3 linked regions of the Macaca mulatta genome follow. The protein of the gene in region 2 interacts with the protein of the main gene of each other region in a pairwise test. Links are inferred from orthologs where the notes say so. Each region holds a gene or a part of one and is shown on either strand. Other genes may lie near its edges. The genes, in order: ATF4, CEBPG and CEBPE.

Region 1 (6,100 bases), on a different chromosome or scaffold from region 2:
AGTCTTTAATTATTGGTCCCTGAGGCCAAGTCCACAGCTTGCCTTCTAGTCACTTGCCTGCCCATCAGTGGTGGTGGGTGTGTTAGCTGGTAGATTTGGAATCAGTCACCACTCTTTCTGTACTGTCTTGGTTAGGTCTGTATAAGTAGAGGCAGCTTAGCCCTGAGACCCAGAGAGCTGCTATCCTTTTTCTCCTTGCGGGAGGAAATAAAACTGGGGAACACAATGTCCTTCCATAGCATAGGAAGAAGCAAATAAAAGTCTCCTTTCCACCAGTGTTGACTTGTGTGTGTTGCATGAAACATCTTCCTGTGGGAGTGGTACTGGGTCTCCATTTTCAGCTAGAGTAACCTTTGAAGTGTTTGAGCTAGGTCTCTATAAAAGAATGGATGGGACAGGCTGCCATGAGAGTCATTCTTTCATGACCTTTTCAGTGTCAAAACTGGGGCAGTGTTACTTTAATACTCAACCATTTGCACCATCATCTGTCAGGAGGTACTGTCTATAGCAAAAGGAGAACATGTCCTGTGGGTCCCTAGTTCGGCCTTTGGAAGACATGGCTAATGGCTCAGGGATTCTTACTGCCTCTGCATGGAAAGGCTAGACAACTCCTGTATTTATTATTATTAAGACAGGGTCTTGCCCTGTTGCCCAGGCTGAGTTGCAGTGTTGTGATTACAGCTCACTGCAGCTTGGAATTCCTGGGCTCAAGCAATCCTCCCACCTCTGCCTGAGTAGGTGGGACTACAGGCTGGAGCCACTGCTCCTGGCACCAATTCTGTATATCTCAACTCTCATGATTCCCCAAAGAGAAAGAAAAACCATACTTTTATTCCAGCATCCGGTATGCCTTGTGTATACCTGTATACAAGTTTTAAAGTTGTTGGTTTCATCTCATTAAATAATAGTTAAGAGTCCTCTGAGGCAGCAGGAGGATGTGGAGAGTAGCACAGGTCAGGGTCAGGTGACCTGAGTTCTATGAAGGGTAGCAGCAATAGCAACTATTATTGGGTGCTTACATGTACCAGGCGCTATGCTAAGTGCTTTACATGTATGACTTCACTTCATGGGGCAAGGATACTCATCAGTAGTCTCATTTTACAAATGAGGAAACCGAGGCTCAAAGAGGATAAGTCACTTAGCCAAAATGTCCCAGCCAGGATTCTTTTGGGTGAGCTCCCCAAAATTTGTCTTCTAACTCCTACCCTATACTCCCTCCACTGGGAGCTGTGCGACTTTGAGCAAGAAGCTTCATCCCATTGGGCCTCGGTTTACCATTGGAAAGGACTTGTGAGCGAGGTTGAATGAGCGCAGCAGATGGCCTGTGGTTATTTAGAGCAGTGCTTCCCTGGTTGTTTGGTATCACAGCGATCATAGAAATACTTGTGTGGCCCGGTGAAATGGAGGCGGAAACTCAGTTTCTACCTTCACAGGGCCTGACTGGAGGGGGCTGAGGACGATGCGGAGGTTTCCTGTATTAAAACAGACTACCCCCCCTTCCCAACGCACAACCCCGAGCACGTGGCCGTGGGTTCCCAAGCGCCTCTCCTCCCAGGGCCATGGGCATGACCACCGAAAAGCGGGTTAGGCCGGGGAGTTCAGAACCCGGAGTGAATCGAAACTACCCCAGGTAGATGGCAGCGAAGAAAATTCTGTTCTTAGGGGAACGCAATCTTCGGACACCAGAAGTTCCCCTATGATGCTATTCTGTGGCAGCCTCGCACTTGAGCCGGATGAGAATTGTAAAAACCCAGGTTGGGAGACAGGACGGCGCGTCTTCCCGGCTCCTTTCCAGAGTTTAGACGGAGCCATGCAGACTCAGCTGGCCTTTGGGTGTAGGTGGGCAGGCCCGAGGCGCCCTCTCGAGACCCCTTCAACCTCCCGGGGGCAGCAACACCGTATCGGCTATGAATGGCGTCTCTGGAAAACTCAGGCTTGGAACAGGTAACCCCCCGGTTTCCGCAGGCCAGAAATCAGCCCCCGCAACCGAAGGACGCGCAGGCTGGGAGTGGCGGCGGGGCCGCCAGTGGCGGACCTCCACTGAGGGCGGCGGGACCCGACCGCAGGGGCTGGGCCCTGAGGCCACTATGGGGTGCGCTAGGCTAAGGTCTCCTGGGGGCAGGAGCCAGTGCGATTGTAGCTGGCCAGCAGGCTGGCCGGCCTGAGGCCTGGCAGAGACCCGAGACCCCGACCCTTACCACGCGGACTCCGTGATCCCTCTCCCAGCAGCCGCCCACCTGGGGCCCTGAGCCAATAAGAGCTCGAGGTATATATGACTCACCGTGCCTGGGCCAATCAACTTGACGCGCGCTCTTCGCCAGCACCTCGCGCGATAACCTGGCTTCCTCGGCCTTCACAATAAAAACTCTCCGCCGGAAAACGACCTCTCCCCGCCCACCGCGCCGACACCGGAAGCGAGGCGTGTCTGCGAGATCACTCCGCGCTCCGGCGGCGAAGGAAAGAACGGACTCTGATCATAGAAGTCTAGTAAAGTAGTGCACCTCTCTCGTTTCGTGAGGTCATAAGAACAAACACCTTTTCTCGTCACAGCTACGCGCTGGGCATAAACGGTTGGGGCGTCAAAGGGAGGGAAACGAGCGGGCGGGAGGAGATGGTCACGTGGCCGTGGCGGAAGGATGCGTCGGTGCTGCGTCCCCTTAGAGACGAAGTCTATAAAGGGCCGGCGGGCGGCTGCTGCGGCCATTTCTACTTCGTCCGCCCACAAATGTAGTTTGGTTTGCACGTGTGCGCCTTCCCTCCTCCCCGCCCGCAGGGTCCACGGCCACCATGGCGTATTAGGGGCAGCAGTGCCTGCGGCAGCATTGGCCTTTGCAGCGGCGGCAGCAGCACCAGGCTCTGCAGCGGCACCCCCCCCAGCGGCTTAAGCCATGGCGTGAGTACCAGGGCGGGTCGTCCAGCTGTGCTCCCTGGGCCGGCGCAGGATTTGGGTTGGTGGGGTGCGGCCTGGGGCCGGGGCGGTGCCGCCAAGGAGGAAGCGATTTTACGAGCGCCCGGGACGCGTGGTCTTTGCTTGGGTGTCCCCGAGACGCTCGCGTGCCCGGGATCGGGAAGGCGCATTCTGGTGCCAGGACTGCTTCCACAGGGGCCCTGCCGCCCTCGGACCCCGAGTCCCCCAAGGGTCCCAGGGGTCTCGGCTTTCCCCCCCGCGAAACGTGGCAAGAACCAAGATGGCGGCGGCAGGGCGGCGCCGCGGGCGTGAGTCAAGGGCGGGCGGTGGGCGGGGCGCGGCCGCCCTGGCCTTATTTGGACGCGGGGACGGAGCGCCTTCCTCTTGGTGGCCGGTGGAAGAATCGCCTGGTCTCCGTGAGCGTCCATTTTGTGGAACCTGAGCCGCAGCAGGGAGGGGCGGATGCAACTGCCCCGTTGCCGACTCTATAGATGGCTGGACTAGAGAAGTCCCGCCTCGTAAGTGGAAAGATGAAATTCTCAGACCAGCTAACCTCTAATGGGAGTTGGCTTCTGATTCCCATTCAGGCTTCTCACGGCATTCAGCAGCAGCGTTGCTGTAACCGACAAAGACATCTTCGAATTAAGCACATTCCTCGATTCCAGCAAAGCACCGCAACATGACCGAAATGAGCTTCCTGAGCAGCGAGGTGTTGGTGGGGGACTTGATGTCCCCCTTCGACCAGTCGGGTTTGGGGGCTGAAGAAAGCCTAGGTCTCTTAGATGACTACCTGGAGGTGGCCAAGCACTTCAAACCTCATGGGTTCTCCAGCGACAAGGCTAAGGCGGGCTCCTCCGAATGGCTGGCTGTGGATGGGTTGGTCAGTCCCTCCAACAACGGCAAGGGTGAGTGGGCCACCACCACATCGTCTGGGTGGGATCTAGGGTTAGGGGCCTGTTATCTTTGTATCTGACTCACTTGGCCCTGTCATTCAAATCTTTTGCAGAGGATGCCTTCTCCGGGACAGATTGGATGTTGGAGAAAATGGATTTGAAGGAGTTCGACTTTGATGCCCTGTTGGGTATAGATGACCTGGAAACCATGCCAGATGACCTTTTGACCACGTTGGATGACACGTGTGATCTCTTTGCCCCCCTAGTCCAGGAGACTAACAAGGAGCCCCCACAGACGGTGAACCCAATTGGCCATCTCCCAGAAAGTTTAACAAAACCCGACCAGGTTGCCCCCTTCACCTTCTTGCAACCTCTTCCCCTTTCCCCAGGGGTCCTGTCCTCCACTCCAGATCATTCCTTTAGTTTAGAGCTGGGCAGTGAAGTGGATATCACTGAAGGAGATAGGAAGCCAGATGCCACTGCTTATGTTGCCATGATCCCTCCGTGCATAAAGGAGGAAGACACCCCCTCAGATAATGATAGTGGCATCTGTATGAGCCCGGAGTCCTATCTGGGCTCTCCTCAGCATAGCCCGTCTACCAGGGGCTCTCCAAATAGGAGCCTCCCATCTCCAGGTGTTCTCTGTGGCTCTGCCCGCCCCAAACCTTACGACCCTCCTGGAGAGAAGATGGTAGAAGCAAAAGTAAAGGGTGAGAAACTGGATAAGAAGCTGAAAAAAATGGAGCAAAACAAGACAGCAGCCACTAGGTACCGCCAGAAGAAGAGGGCGGAGCAGGAGGCCCTCACTGGCGAGTGCAAAGAGCTGGAAAAGAAGAATGAGGCTTTAAAAGAGAGGGCGGATTCCCTGGCCAAGGAGATCCAGTACCTGAAAGATTTGATAGAAGAGGTCCGCAAGGCAAGGGGGAAGAAAAGGGTCCCCTAGTTGAGGGTAGTCAGGAGCGTCAGTGTGCTTGTACATAGAGTCTCTGCTGTTGCTGTGTGTTGGAATAAATTATTTTGTAGGGAAAGTACTTGTGTGAATTCCTTTTCTGGCAAATTAGCCGAGTGAGGCGCCAACCACGCATCCCAAACTGGTTATAACATTCCTTGTGAGATCTGGGGAGGAGGGCAGTCCAGGACTGAAGATGGGTACCCAGAGTGGGAACTGCTCGCCCTGCTAGGTGTAAGCCACGATGTCTGATGACTCATGGGGCCATACAGCCGGATAGTTGGCCAACTGTAGCAAGTTGGGTCCTTTACCCAGAGGTGAGTTCGCTGGTTGTGTAGGGAGGAGGCTGGAGCTCTCTGAGAGGTTGGGAGGGAGGGACAGCCTGGGCCTCTTACCTATTTATTCAAGAGGGCTTCATGCCAACAGCTGTCGCCTGAAACCCTGGATAAGCTTGCACAGTCCTTGAGATAAGCACACAAGATTAGTTTTCACTTGTTACCCTGAGTTCTGTAGAAACGTGTTCCTGAAGAAAGAAATGGCTCCTTTTCGGAATTGATGCTGAAGCAGGACAGGAGCTGAGGGTTGGCCTCCGTTTCTCCTTATGGGGTGGAAGGATGACATCCTGCACAGGTTCTGGCTAGAGCTGGGCACAAAGGCTACAGTTCCTGTGAAGGCTGTTGTGCCTGTTGCTACCTAAATAGAAGGCCTGGCATCATGCTAGGATGGATCAGCGCCTAGAAACCACGCCTCCTCACCGCAGCTTCTTCCTGGCAAGCTGGCGGGGAGACCTCGCCTTTCCAGGCAGGCGATGTCTTTTGTGTTGCGGATGAGTGCTTGATTTTGTGTTGCGGATGAGTGCTTGAATGCAAGGATCAGCGTATCCTGGGTAGGTCTGTCTTTCCTCTTGTGTCCTTCAGGATCACAGTTTTCCTTCTGTGGAAGGTGGTGTAGACTGGGTGTGCCCGGGGAATGGCTGGGAGGACAGTGAGGGTGAGTGCGCCCAGGCACTGCTGTAACTGAGCACAGTACGTGTGTTCACCCCGTCCCCGAAGCACACCCAGGAGGCAGACGCCACACTCAGGAGGATTTTTTTTTTTTTTTTTTTTTTTTTTTTTTTTGAGACAGGGTCTCTCCCTGTTGACCAGGCTGGAATGCAATGGTGCAATCTCGGCTCACCACAACCTCCACCTCCTGGATTCAAACGATTCTCATGCCTCAGCCTCCCGAGTAGCTGGGATTACAGGTGCTCGCCACCATGCCCAGCTAATTTTTGTATTTTTAGTAGAGACGGGGTTTCACCATGTTGGCCAGGCTAGTCTCGAACTCCTGACTTCCTGATCCACCCACCTT
Region 2 (6,595 bases):
CCAGCACTTAGCCTACGGCTTAGCGCATAGTTGGCACCAAATGCATACTTGTAAACTGAGTAGAAGAAAAAACTACCAGCTACCAGCTGAAAAGGAAATAAATACCTGAGTGTCCTGGGCACTGACTAGACTTGCTGGGTGTGTAAGAAGGCCTGCCCAGACACAGATACAAAGAATGCTGGAACAGCTTGGCAGAGCGGTTTGCAAACCAGAGGATAACTGAATATACCTATACAAGTTCTTTTTTTCCCCTTACACATTTTTTTTCTTTTCCTTTTTTTTTTTTTTTTTTTTTTTGAGATGGAGCCTTGCTCTGTCACCCAGGCTGGAGTGCAGTGGCACGATCTCAGCTCACTGCCAACCTCTGCCTCCCAAGTTCAAGCAATTCTTCTGCTTCAGCCTCCCGAGTAGCTGGGATTACAGGCACCCGCCACCACGTCCAGCTAATTTTTGTATTTTTAGTAGAGACAGGGTTTCACCATGTTGTCCAGGGTGGTCTCAAACTCCTGACCTCAGGTGATCCACCCGCCTCGGCCTCCCAAAGTGCTGGCATTACAGGCGTGAGCTACTGCGCCCAGCCCCCTTGTACATTTAAGTGATTAGGAAATATTCAGGGTAAAATTATGATTTTGTGAGCAATAAATCACAATCCTATTTTAATACCACTAAAATCTTGATCAAAGCAAGTTCAGGCAGGACTTGGTTACTCATGCCCATAATCCCAGCAATCTGGGAGGCCGAGACAGAAAGATCACTTGAGCCCAGGAGTTTGAGACCAGAGTGGACAATATGGTGAGACCTCATCTCTACAAAACATTTTTTAAAAATTAGCTGGGTGTGATGGTGCATGCCTATAATCCCATCTACTTGGGAGGCTGAGGTGGGAGCATGGCTTGAGACCAGGAGGTCGAGGCTGCAGTGAGCTGTGATCAAGCTGTGACGGTGCCATTGCACTCTAGCTGGGGCAACATAGCAAGACCCTGTCTCAAAAGAAAAAAAAAAAGAAGTTTCTTTTTCAGCTCAGAATACGAGAGCCAACGTGAAGAAACACACTTGTTTTGACGACGCTTACTCTCCCAAGTGTGGATCTGTGAGCATTATTCCTTGTTTTTTTTTTTGGAGACAGGGTCTCATCCTGTGGCTCAGGCTGGAGTGCAGTGGCTCAGTCTCAGCTCACTGTAACCTCCGCCTCTCAGGCACAAGCCATTCTCCCATCTCAGTCTCCAGAGTAGCTGGGACCACAGGCACAGCGCCACCACACCCGGCTAATCTTTGGTATTTTTGGTAGAGACAGGGTTTTTCCATGTTGCTCAAGCTGGTCTCTAATTCCTGACCTGAAGTGATCCAACTGCTTCCGCCTCTCAAAGTGCTGGGATTACAGGCCTGAGCCACCGCACCTAGCCCATTGTTCACGTTTGTGACCCCTTTTAATTTTTATTTATTGCTTTATCATCTTACTGATTCCTCGAAACAATCTTACGGGGCGAGCCGGTTCCATGGGCGCTGAAGAAACATTTCCTCTTTCAAAGCCTCAATTTTTTGAACGATACGCATTGCTAAAGAGGAAGCAATCAAACCTATCAGGCGAGCTCTGCCCTCCGCCCAGCGAGCTGCTGCTTCCTGGTGTTAAAACGCTTTCGGGTCCTCCTGGCGAGTTTTAAGTCACACTGGATCGCTGCTCATTTTCAGAGAGCACCTCGCACCCATTCACCTGGAAGGCACCCAAGGGGAATCGATTTAGGAAATTCACTTCATGTCACCCTAACAACAAAGCACAGCCTGCAGCTTTCACCCATGTGACATCAATGCTAATCCTATGTGCGAAACATTTGGGTTCATTCGATTTTTTAAAAATTAGTAACAGAGATGGGGTCTCGCCATGTTGTCCAGGCTGGTCTCCACCGCCTGGGCTCAAGCCGTTCTCCCGCCTCGGCCTCCCTCGGCGCTGAGATTACAGGCGGGAGCCACCGCGTCAGCCTCCTCTCGTTTTTCGGCGACAGGGCCAGCCCGCCTGCGGGAAGTTCCGTTCGGAGAAACTCTGTGAGGGACGCCGCGGGGGCTCCCAGGGGACGCGGCGAAATCAAAACAGTCACCGGTGGTTCACAAAACTACCTCAGGAAATGCTTCCAAAGGCAGGTCTGGCCTTCACAAGGCGACGGCTCTTCAGCCTCCGACACGAACCTGAGTAGTCCACAGCACTGGGCCGCAGCCAGCCCGGGCAAGCCGCCGAGCGACCGCGGACGCCGTAGCGAGCAGCCGCCTGCTCCCGCCACACCCGCCGAGCCAGCCGCGCGGAATCCACGCCCCCGCCGTGTGCCCGCCTCCCTCCTCTATCCGGCCCACGATTGGTCGGGTGGGGTGCCCGTCGCGAGAGAAGGCGGTGCCTCCCGCAGGCCGGCGCTCCCATTGGTCAGGATGGCGGCGACGGCGCGCGCGACCCGGCGACGAGGGGAAGCCGGTGGCCGCGGCTGCGGAACGGGCGGAGGCTGCCGGTTTCGTAACCGTCGCTCCTCCTCGCTGACTCGCGGGCTGTGAGGCCTGGGTCGGCTCGGGCCGCACCGCGCGGGGCCGCTCGGAGTGGAGGCCGCCTGGGGGCAGGCGGGCTGGAGGAGCAGGTAAAGAGGCCGCGGCGGGCGCCCTGAGATCGGGGAGGAGGAGGCCGCGGCGGTGCCGGCCGCTCGCCTGGGCGCGGGCCCGGCTCGGGGAAACCCAGCCCCGGCCCCAGAAGGCTGGCTGGCTCGGGAAGGCCCCGCGAGGCTGGAGGCGCGGGCGGCGGCGCCGCGCGGCGTCTGATGCAACCTGCCGGCAACACCCGGCGGCGGGGACGCTGAGCTCATTCCTGGCCGCGGCCCAGCGCCGCGGCGCCGCCCGTCGACCCCCGCGCTGCCCGGGGCGCCCCTCGCGGCTGGCCGAGAGCGCGCGAACGGCCGGGGAATGCCCCCTGCGGAGCCCGGCCCCCTCTCGGTGAGACGGGCGGTGTGACCGGCCAGGCTTGCATTGGCCCCTGGGGATGAAGGGTGTTCCCAGAATAGCAGAAGGTGGACCGAATCGAGCTTTAGAATCCTGCTCTTCTAGAAGGGCTCAGCTTGCGGTGATCGAAAATCTGTTCAGAAGTTCAAAGACTGATCAATAAAATAGGGAAAGCAACTAGTTTTTAAATGCATGACTTCGCAGAGATAATATTTTGCTTTGTGGAGCTGTTTGAATGTCCTGCACTTTACTGTTGAACGTAGTTTAGAAGAACACGCAACACCCACGGGTCAAATAGAGAAGAAATGAAGCACTTCGCGGGCATGGTTGGAGGGAGCGGAGCAGGGCAAACAGCCAGCAGAGGTGTCCAGATGCGGAGGATGGAAATACATGTGTGTGGGGGAGGAGAGTCTGTTTTCCAGGGTAGCTGGTGTGTTGCTTCTCTTCCCTAGGTTTACTGTTTGGTTTTCCCCTTGTTTGAGGTTTATACTGTAATCTGGCATCCTGAAATGTATAAGATTTAGAAAGGTCTCAGTGTTGATGGGTGACACCAAAATTGGTAGTTGTGTCAAAATTGACTGCCTGTATGAATAGGTTGTCACTTAAGGCAGACTTCTCCCATAGATGTGTGACTCGCCGAGAAAATTTTAAAAGAAAATCCTGTAAGGGCTTGCTTTACGAAGACATTCTACATCTAGAAGCTCTTGATGTTTAAGATGTGATCATCTGTTAGCCCTTGAGTAGTATTTGGGATAAGCCGTTCATAAGGTCAGTTCTGCTTCTGGAAAAAGTTGCTGTAAACAAGGCTTAAATAATTACAGGGTACCCAGGAGCTGAAGCATATTTCAGCTTCTTGATTCCTGCTTCTGGTGGGCACACTTGGCTGGTTTAGTTATTTTTAATACCTGCTTTAAAAAAAGTAGGGGGAAACAAAACATTGAGAATATCCTTTAAATTCTCAAGAGCACATCATGTCTGTCCGCAAGGCTGGCTGATCTTGGAGAGATGGTTTCATCTCTGGGAAATTAAACACTATGTGCTGAGCCCCTGGTAAAGACAAATAGGACCTCATGGGGCTGAATTTGGTCTTATAGTCTAAGATTGCCTCACTTGGTCACAGTAATGGTAAGTACAGGTAGCTACGATTCCAGGTGTATTGTGCATTCTTGGGAGGGCTGGTTCCATGGGTGGTTGTATTGATAGGTACACTGGCCTCCTGCGTTTGTGGCTTTCTAGCTCTATCAGTAAAAAAAGAAAAAAATGAGCATGAGCTCCTAATGGTTGTTTATTTACAGTCTATTTGTTTTGTGTGTTGTAAATCACTTCAAAAGGATTGGGTTAGAAAGATGATGTTGATGTTCTTCTCATGCCCCAGTGACCCACTTCTGTACTCCCAGAAAGGGGACGTCCCCTCCCTCATGGACCCTGCAGTAGATGCATGTGAAGATCCGCAGGGAGACACGACGTGGCTGGAGTTGACAGACCTAGGGAACAGATCTTCCCAGATGCCCAAAGAAAAGAGAAAGCACAGACCATTTAGGATACAGATAGTGGTTTAGTACTGTCAAGATGTGGTGTGAGGGAGGAGAGAGGGTCAGGACCTTGGATTTGATCCTGTAGACTGGAGCCAGAGATGAATTTTCAGCAGGAGAGTGACTCACTCAGGTTTGAGTGTTCATTGCTCTGGAGACAGAGGTTGGAGGAAGCAGGCTAGACCAGAGACCAGTGTCCCTGAGAGATGATAGTGACCTGAGGTGAGTTCGATGGGATTGGGATGGAGAGGAAGGGTAGATGGGAAGTTTTTTTGTTTTAGGTGGAATTGTCAAATCCCAAAGACTAAATAGAGTTAGGACCAAGGAGAAACATCTATGACTGTTTTGAAATGTTGACCTTCATTGAGGAAACTGAGTGAAAAATTTATTTTGGTGGGCAAGGGGAGGAATATTGGATTCTAGGTGTGTGGAGAAAAGGGACAAAAGCATTGGGAAAATTCTTAGTAGGTTTATTTCCCCAGGTGAAACTTCAGAAAAATTTGATTTTGTTTTACTCATTCTAACATTGTGTGCGCTTTCAGTGTGACTGACATGAACGAACATTACTTGAATTAAGTTTGAATTGAAACAAAGCCTATTATCCAGTTAGTCCACCATTCTCAGTATTCATTGGGAATCAACAGCAGAGACCCTCAGACTTCAGTGTCATCAAAGTTACTTGGAAGTCTCCTTATGAAAAGATTGCTCAGCCCTGTTCTTAGAACTCCGATTCTAAGTCTGGGGCAGCCTGAGAAGTTACATTTCTAAAGAGTTCCTGGATGATGATGATGCTGGTCCAGGGACCACACTTTGAGAGCCACTGCTCTTCAGCGTTCCTGCTGTTTCCTACTTGAGTGATTCACATGGAAGGAAGCCAGGCGCCACCCTGCTTCCTGTAGGCTGAACTTTGGAATAGTGTTTGTCCACAGAGGAGCCGGACTTGAATTTAGGACTCAATGTCCAGCTTTGAAATAAACACTTTTTGCCTGTTGTAGCTGTTCAGTAAATGTGTGTGGAAGGAACAAAGCATAAATGAGAGTGGCCTTTTCTGTGTAAAACCTCTTAGCTCTTTGATCCCCTTTTACTTGGTTAATTTTCTCTTCACTTTAAGAGCTATTTATATGGTTTAAGAACTTTTTAAACAAAACAGTCTCGGAGTTATTTTGATTATCTCCAAGTTTCTCTTTCTTACATTTTCACCAGCTTGTAGGTTCAGTGAATACTCTTTTCACGCCAAAGGGCTTACCTTTAAAACCTCGCCTACCACACACGTTCAGCCTAGTACCTTGCAAGATGAGTCAGGCAGAGGTGAAAGAGCCCTTCCCTGTTCCTGTATCTTTGGATATGGAAACAGGCATGAACGTCGCTGAACTTGGACCCTGTAGTGAATAAGAGCTGTTAGTGACTGAAGGTCGTGGTGTGTTGTCTGTAGAAAAGTGTCTTACTATTCCACATCCCTCATTTACATATGGGGAATAGACGCCCACGGAAGAAAAGAGATTTACCCATACTAAAATAGGGGGAGCCATAGCCAAGACAAGAACTGGCCTGGTCACCGGTCTCTACCGTTTTGGATCGTTGCTATCTCTGAGCATGGCCACATTGACTGTAGAGAGCTTTAAGGGCTAAAAATATAATTGGTATATAAAAAAGTAGAGAAATAAGGTGAACATGATTATGATTGTTAAGACAGTCTCAGGAGAGGTGTTAACCAAGTTCTTAATAATTGAGTCAAGCACTTCTACTCACTTGACACCAGATAGATAAGCAATAATAATGTTAGGTGGCACTAAGCATGGCTCAGATTAATACTGAACAGCCACTTTGCTACTGAAAGGAAAATGAGGCAACCTAATAAGGATCAAAGGAAACTGTGAACTGTCTGTTACTGAAGATAGGCTTGGAGTGGATAGCCTTCATCATTTGGAGGGACGCTTTCTGTCTTGCCTTAGTGCTGGAGTGAGAACAGATGACCTACTAGCTCAGGGCCGGCTGTGTGGCTTTGAAAACAATGGAAAGTAATGACACATGGACTTTTTAAAGCAAAGATGTTTTTTAAAAAGAGACCAATAAACTGTGTACAGAATTGCCTG
Region 3 (6,430 bases), on a different chromosome or scaffold from region 2:
GAAAAGGACTGAGTCCTGGGCAAGATAGACATGTCACACACAGATGCCCGAGGTGTGGGAGGGCTCTACTGCTGGAGATTTGAAGAAGGGAGAGAGATCTGGGATGATCCAGACACCAGGATCTTGCCCTCTCAGAAAATTATTCCTTGATGTCTGACTCAGGCTTTCCCAGCACTGGCCTAGGAGAGACTTTAACAAGTCCTTAATCTGTCCCTGGCTCCCTGATACTGTTGAGCACTGTTCTTTACTGAATGTGATTCATGTGACACTCAAACTGAGTATCTGTGAGGAGAGCGTCGCACGGAGTAGAGAGAGAGGTACCATGTACCGAGGCAGCAAAGGGACTCAGTGAGTGTCAGGAGAAGCCTCTTACCCCCTCTGGCCCTCAACTGCTTTATCTATAAAATGTGGCTCACCCTATCTTGCTGGTCTGAGGGCAGAGCCGATGATCTCTTGAGGTCTCTTCCAGCACATCTTGAGATCTGTGATTTTATGGAGCTAATTTTGGTTCTGCCTCTAAACAATTGTGTGACTCCAGGTAAGTCCCTTCCCCTCTTTGCGGCCTGTTTTCTTACCTACAAAATCAGTTTAGATGAGATCTCCGAGGTCCTTTCAGTTCCAGCAAAATGGAGGAATCGTCATAAATATGCTTATTACATGCAAAGTTTTCTTTTTCTTTTTTCTTTTTTTTTTTTTTTTTTTGAGACGGAGTCTCACGCTGTTGCCCAGGCTGGAGTGCAGTGGCGCGATCTCGGCTCACTGCAAGCTCCGCCTCCCGGGTTCCCGCCATTCTCCTGCCTCAGCCTCCTGAGTAGCTGGGACTACAGGCGCCCGCCACCGCGCCCGGCTAATTTTTTTTTTTGTATTTTTAGTAGAGACGGGGTTTCACTGTGGTCTCGATCTCCTGACCTTGTGATCCGCCTGCCTCGGCCTCCCAAAGTGCTGGGATTACAGGCTTGAGCCACCGCGCCCGGCCAAAGTTTTCTTTTTCTATGAATATAACACTACAGAGTGGGTACGAATATTGCTACCATTTTGCAGATGAGGAAACCGAGGCACAGAGAGAAGTAATGGCTGAAGGCTCACAGCTAGTAAGTAGCAGAGTATGATTCAAACTGAGGCTCTTAATTACTGTACCATCTGTCTCTTAGGCTGGAGTCCAATGCCAAAGAAAATGCTGCTTTGAGTGAGGGGTGTCCCTGGCACAGGCAGATTGTCATCCTCCTTCTCATTACCAGTGTTCTCATACACAAATCCGCTTTCCAGGTCTCTCCCAACTGATTCCTGTCCCATGCACTCAATTCTCAAGCTTTACGGAACTGGAGCCCCAGGGATGAGGGACAAAGGATGGAAATGAGTAGGTGGGAGCAGCATTGGGAGGGTGTCCATCTGGTAGACTGAGGCATCGGAACTGGAGAGAAGAGATGGCAGGCTGGATCAAGGGACCATAAATATGGCAGAGCCATCAGGAATTTTCCCGTGGTCACCTGGGGCAGGAGCTCCCAGACCTATACTTCGAGGTGAGAGAGGGTGGACCTGGGAGCCGCAGGCCTGGGCATGAAGGACTGTGTGGTGCCAGGATCTCCCTACAAGCTACAGATCTTTGTTAGCAGAGCATACAAAGGTTGCTCCAGGTCCTGCGGGGGGCGGGGATGTGCCTTCAGATCACAGAAGCGGGTGATGGGGATGTCAGGGAGAGAAAAGCAGAGTGGCAGATACATGGTCTGGTTGTGTAGCATGTAGGGGGCTGGCTGTGGACAGCATGTCTGTGTTTCCACATGTCCATTTGGATATGGAAACAAGAGGTGCAGACCTAGCCACATGCATCCTCTGTCCCCAGGGTCCTCCATCACACACACACACACACACACACATACACACACACACACACACACACAGAGCCAACAGTCCCAACACCCAGTCACAGTGCAACTTTATTCAGCCACATAATCATTATGCTGGGTCCTGCCCTTCCTTGCCACCCCGGTTGCCATTTATCCATGGTCTATGTCTCAGGGTTCTAGGCCCCCAGCAGGATGGGGGTTCGCAGAGTCAGGCCGTGCCACGGAGCCTGGTGCCCAAAGTCCACCAGCCAGACTCAGCTGCAGCCCCCCACGCCCTTGATGAGGTTGGCCGCCTCAGGGATCTGGCGGAAGAGGTTGCGGAGGGTGTCTAGCTCCTGGGTGAGCTGCTCCACGCGGCTGCGGAGGCGCTCGTTCTCTGCCATGTACTCCAGCACCTTCTGCTGCGTCTCCAAAATGCGCCTCTTGGCCTTGTCCCGGCTCTTGCGCACTGCGATGTTGTTGCGCTCCCGCCTCAGCCGGTACTCAAGGCTATCTTTGTTCACTGCCTTCTTGCCCTTGTGTAAGGGGCCAGCGGGGGAGGGCGCCTTCAGGAGGGGACTGCAGGGCGGTGCGGCAGTGGCCAAAGGGGCCTGGAGGGGAAGGCACGGAGAGACGGAGAGGTGAGGGCTGGCCAGGAGGCAGAGCGAAGGCGGGACGAGAATCTCTGCAGCCAGGGCACACTTGCTGCATCGAAGGAATACAGGACTCAGAGCCAGCTCCTGTCTCTCAGGTCAAAACTATCATCACCCTGCTTCTGGGAGATGGTGACCCAGATGCACAGGGTTCTCTGCTTGAGACCAAAACTCCCTTTCACGTCCTCACACTTTCTTTCTTTCTTCTTTTTTGTAAAGATGGAGCCTTGCTATGTTGCCCAGGCTGGTCTCCAACTCCTGGCCTTAAGCGACCGTCCTGCTTTGGCCTCGCAAAGCGCTGGGATTACAGGCATGAGCCGCTGCACCCAGCCAATGTTCTCACACTTTCTGAGTACACTTTCCCTCAATCTGTCTTGAGTCTCCTGTTCTATGACCAGCAGACATTTCTTACAGAAGCAGGCGGCAGAGAAACAAGAGGAGGGGGCATGGTGAGCAGCAGAGAGGCTGGTGGTGGGGGGCCTGAGATCAAGGTAGGCCAGCTTGCCGCAGGGTCTTTGGGACATGGTGGGGATTCAGGGTGGGAATGAATTCACAGAGAAGGAAAGGGAGGTCATGGTGCGGTGTGAGCACAGAGGACTGTGGGTTGGGTCCATTTCACAGAGCAACACCAAGCACAGACTCAGCAGCGTGAGCAGGGGCACAGGGTCCTGTCCACACCAGCCTCTCCAGCCCGGGGCAGGAGGGAGGAGGGCTGACCTGCTCTTACCTTGAGAACGCGCAGAGGCTGGCCGGGTGCTGCCAGGGTTGGGGGCAGGTGCATGGCTGTCTGCCCACAGTGTGCCACTTGGTACTGCAGGGGATTGTAGCCGCCTCGGCTGGCAGCTCGGCTGCCCTCTGGCCCCCGGGGCTCCTCCTTCACCGCCACAGCCCTGGGGTCGTAGCTCCCTGGGTTGCTGTAGATGCCAGGCCCCAGCGCCTTCCTGTCTGGGCCGAAGGTATGTGGAGGGTAGGCAAAGGGCCGAGGGTCAGGCGGCAAGTAGTGGGGGAAGGCAGGGGTTCCGGGGCCCTTGAGGCCTCTGGCCTCAGGCGCTGGCTTCACCGCAAAGAGATCGGAGAGAAGCTGCTCTTCCCCAGACTCGATGTAGGCAGAGAGGTCAATGGAGGCCTCATGCTCACACATGTCCCCCAGATCCCCGGGCCCAGCTCGGCCCCCTGAGAACTCAAGTGGCTGCTGGCCGCCCCGGGGCTCACACTCGTAGTAGGTCCCGTGGGACATGGCCGGCCCGCCCCCTCGGCTCCCCGCCCCCACCTGCTCTTGAGGCACCCCTTGGGGTGCTCGGGTTGCCCTCTCTCTACCTCCTCCTGACCTGGGCCTGCCCTCTCTCGATCTCCTGCCCTAGACCTGCCCTCTGCAGTCTCCTCTGTCACCCACTCCTGTGTGGCCTCTCTCCCCCCTCTGCTCTGCTTCCTTTTCCTTCCTCTGTAGTCAATGCCTCTCTTCTCTTCCCTTTTTTCCCCTCTCTCCCCTTGGGGTGACTCAGGGAGGGGCAGGACACACCCCAGAGGGAGAGATGTAAGCCTTAGAGAAAGGCGACTCCTGGCCTATTCAGCAGTTGGGGACACTCCTCGGTCAGGGTCCAAGCCAGGGTTCTGGAGATGCCAGAAGCTGATGCTTCTGGGAATGCCTGTCCACTCCCTCCTGAGCCCAGGGGACTCCAAATCCTCACCAAGGGCAACACCCTACTCTGAGCGTCCTCCTCCCTCCAACTGTGAAAAAGTTCTACGCAGAATGAGGTTCCAGGTTAGAGTGAAGAAAGCCCTCTTCCAGTGCCGACCCTCAGTTGGGTCTCAGCTCCTCCCTTGACATGCCTTCCTCTGGCTCTCCCCTGATGCTGGGCTCCACCTACTCCCAGGAGACAGTTTCTTTTGTGGCCTCACCTCCCAGAGCATTCTCTGAGTGTAGGCCAGGGTTTTGTTTTGTTTTGGTTTGTTTTTGAGGGGTCTGGGGAGTAGTGATAGGTCCTAGGAACAAGCTATACATGGGAGCCTGCATGGTGCTGGAGAGAGTACGCTCATTTGCTAGGTTTTTGCACAGGGGCTGTGCAATAGCCCAAATATGAGTATGTTTCCAGCCCCAGCTACCTGTAGCAGCCTGGCACAGTTCCTAACTCCCTGGGCTTGGTTGAAGCACCTGGTCAGGACTTGGGCCTTGCACTGCAGGCCCAGGCAGGCTGCTGCCCTTGGAATAGACAGCCATAATCCTCCGGTGGCTCCAGCACTTCTCTCTTCCAGCTGTTCTCTGCTGCAAGAGGCTCAGGCTGGCGCTTTGCCCCTCACCCTGGGCCTGAGGCTCTGCCTCTGGTTTCCTGTGCCCTGGGCTGCAGGGCTCAGGAGCTTGCTGCAGCTCGTTTGCTGTCTTTCCTTTTGCATGGCTGCTCTCTGATCTCCAATGCGTGTCTCTTGGGTCTACTTCCTCTTGTGAGGTTTGAGAAGCCTCTTATGTCATCACCTCTTCCTGGGGCTCTGTTTTAGGGTCTCCAGGAGAAGCCCATGGCTCTCTATCTGCAATTCTTGGTTCTGTGCTGGCTCTCCTCTTCCCTTTTCTCTTTCCTTTGGGAACTCCCAACTGCCTCCTTTCAGAGACACCTGCTCAGGTCCTGCTTTTACCTGTTGAATTTCATCTCCAAAAGGTCCAGCGGAGGGGGGGGTGGGGGTGGGGGGGAGGAAAGGGCACATAGAAATGTTACTGTCTCTTTTATGACCAGCAAGTACTCTGGGTGCCCCAGGGGGGCCAGAAGTTTTTGTAAGTTGGGCCAAACAAGGGCTGGGTCACTGTGAGTGGGCCCCAGTGGGACAAGTGCAGAGAGGATGTGTGTGGCATTGAACATTAAAATTTTAAAAATGTGTATTCTGGTTAGCATATTCCTTCCATCCTCCCTACCCCAACACCTACCCTAGATGCTGTCTGTGCATGACTTGAGACACAGCCAGATATGCTTTCTCTGAAAGCACAGTGACCTGGTATGAGGAGATCTGTGTGCATCCCAGAGACAGATGTCAGGAATTAGGGAGATTTCTCCATTTCAAAGCTGAGCTCTCAGTTTGGTGGCAGTGCTTCTGTTGACCACCAGGTGGCAATATTGGCCCCAATATTTCGGACTTGGAGGGCTGCTGTGGTCCGGACTCAGGTGGACAGCAGAGGGCAGCCTCTCACAGCTCTGGCTCTCAGCAAGCTCCTGCGGGGGGTCTGGAAGGAGGAAGAGGAGACCTGGCTGGGATGGGGTCTTGCAGTGCAGTTCTAGGGAGAATAAGCAGCTTGCAAGTCCTGCGTCCAGGGCCTTGTCTCCATGAGGAGAAATTCTGTCCCCTCCGCTACTTTGAAATAATGATAATGAATAGGCCTTGTGCTTTCTGATAAATTAATGCTTTTTCAATCCTTGAAACATACACTTTTTCATGCTCTTTGCCTATGGGTTATGCAGGAAGGTAGGCAAGGCAGACAGTATTTTTATTCCTACTTTATAAACAAGGATAACAAGGCTGAGAGGCTGAGCTGCCCAAGGTCATCCAAGGAGGATGCCTGGTTCATCTCTGGCTGAAGGGATGGGAAGGGGCTGCTATGTGACTTGGAGAACCTTCCTGGCACTCATTTGGCCACCATGGGGAGGGGGAAGTCTGCATCAGTAGCTGCGCAGGAGGAAGTGGGAGGTATGTAAATAGAGCCGCAGGAAATGAGAAAGTCAGCAGCTTTAGCCATGGTGAGATAAATCTCTGCCCCGGCCTCCCCGGCTAGTGCTGACGTTGCTGGTACGCTGACCTCAGTGTTTCCCAGTAACAGGGGTTTGGCTGGGGCAGGCAGGGCTCTGGATGTCAGGGTAGGGTAGGGGGAGCTCTGGACAGGAAGGGGAGGTGGGGAGGGCAGTGCCAGTCAGTGGCTGGGGGATGCTTGCTCAGGAGAGGAAAGAAGCTCTCCCGGGTCAGCAGGATCATTTT

The links.
Region 1: the proteins of CEBPG (region 2) and ATF4 interact in binary tests that used the Homo sapiens proteins (3 or more experiments, as listed by UniProt). The link is inferred for Macaca mulatta from reciprocal best matches to the Homo sapiens genes CEBPG and ATF4.
Region 3: the proteins of CEBPG (region 2) and CEBPE interact in a two-hybrid assay, tested with the Homo sapiens proteins (2 studies listed by BioGRID and IntAct, with this or other methods). The link is inferred for Macaca mulatta from reciprocal best matches to the Homo sapiens genes CEBPG and CEBPE.

What each region holds. Positions count from the first base shown.
Region 1 is NC_133415.1:12,020,584-12,026,683, reverse strand, and holds ATF4 (cyclic AMP-dependent transcription factor ATF-4), read left to right. Parts: upstream 1-2,913; 5' UTR 2,914-3,587; coding exon 3,588-3,813; intron 3,814-3,914; coding exon 3,915-4,744; 3' UTR 4,745-4,827; downstream 4,828-6,100. UniProt on the Homo sapiens protein: Transcription factor that binds the cAMP response element (CRE) (consensus: 5'-GTGACGT[AC][AG]-3') and displays two biological functions, as regulator of metabolic and redox processes under normal cellular conditions, and as master transcription factor during integrated stress response (ISR).
Region 2 is NC_133424.1:44,671,463-44,678,057, forward strand, and holds the start of CEBPG (CCAAT/enhancer-binding protein gamma), read left to right. Parts: upstream 1-2,449; 5' UTR 2,450-2,615; intron 2,616-2,835; exon of another isoform or gene 2,836-3,333; intron 3,334-4,598; exon of another isoform or gene 4,599-4,724; intron 4,725-6,595. UniProt on the Homo sapiens protein: Transcription factor that binds to the promoter and the enhancer regions of target genes. Binds to the enhancer element PRE-I (positive regulatory element-I) of the IL-4 gene. Binds to the promoter and the enhancer of the immunoglobulin heavy chain.
Region 3 is NC_133412.1:96,210,229-96,216,658, forward strand, and holds CEBPE (CCAAT/enhancer-binding protein epsilon), read right to left. Parts: upstream 4,237-6,430; 5' UTR 3,714-4,236; coding exon 3,204-3,713; intron 2,435-3,203; coding exon 2,099-2,434; 3' UTR 1,915-2,098; downstream 1-1,914. UniProt on the Homo sapiens protein: Transcriptional activator. C/EBP are DNA-binding proteins that recognize two different motifs: the CCAAT homology common to many promoters and the enhanced core homology common to many enhancers.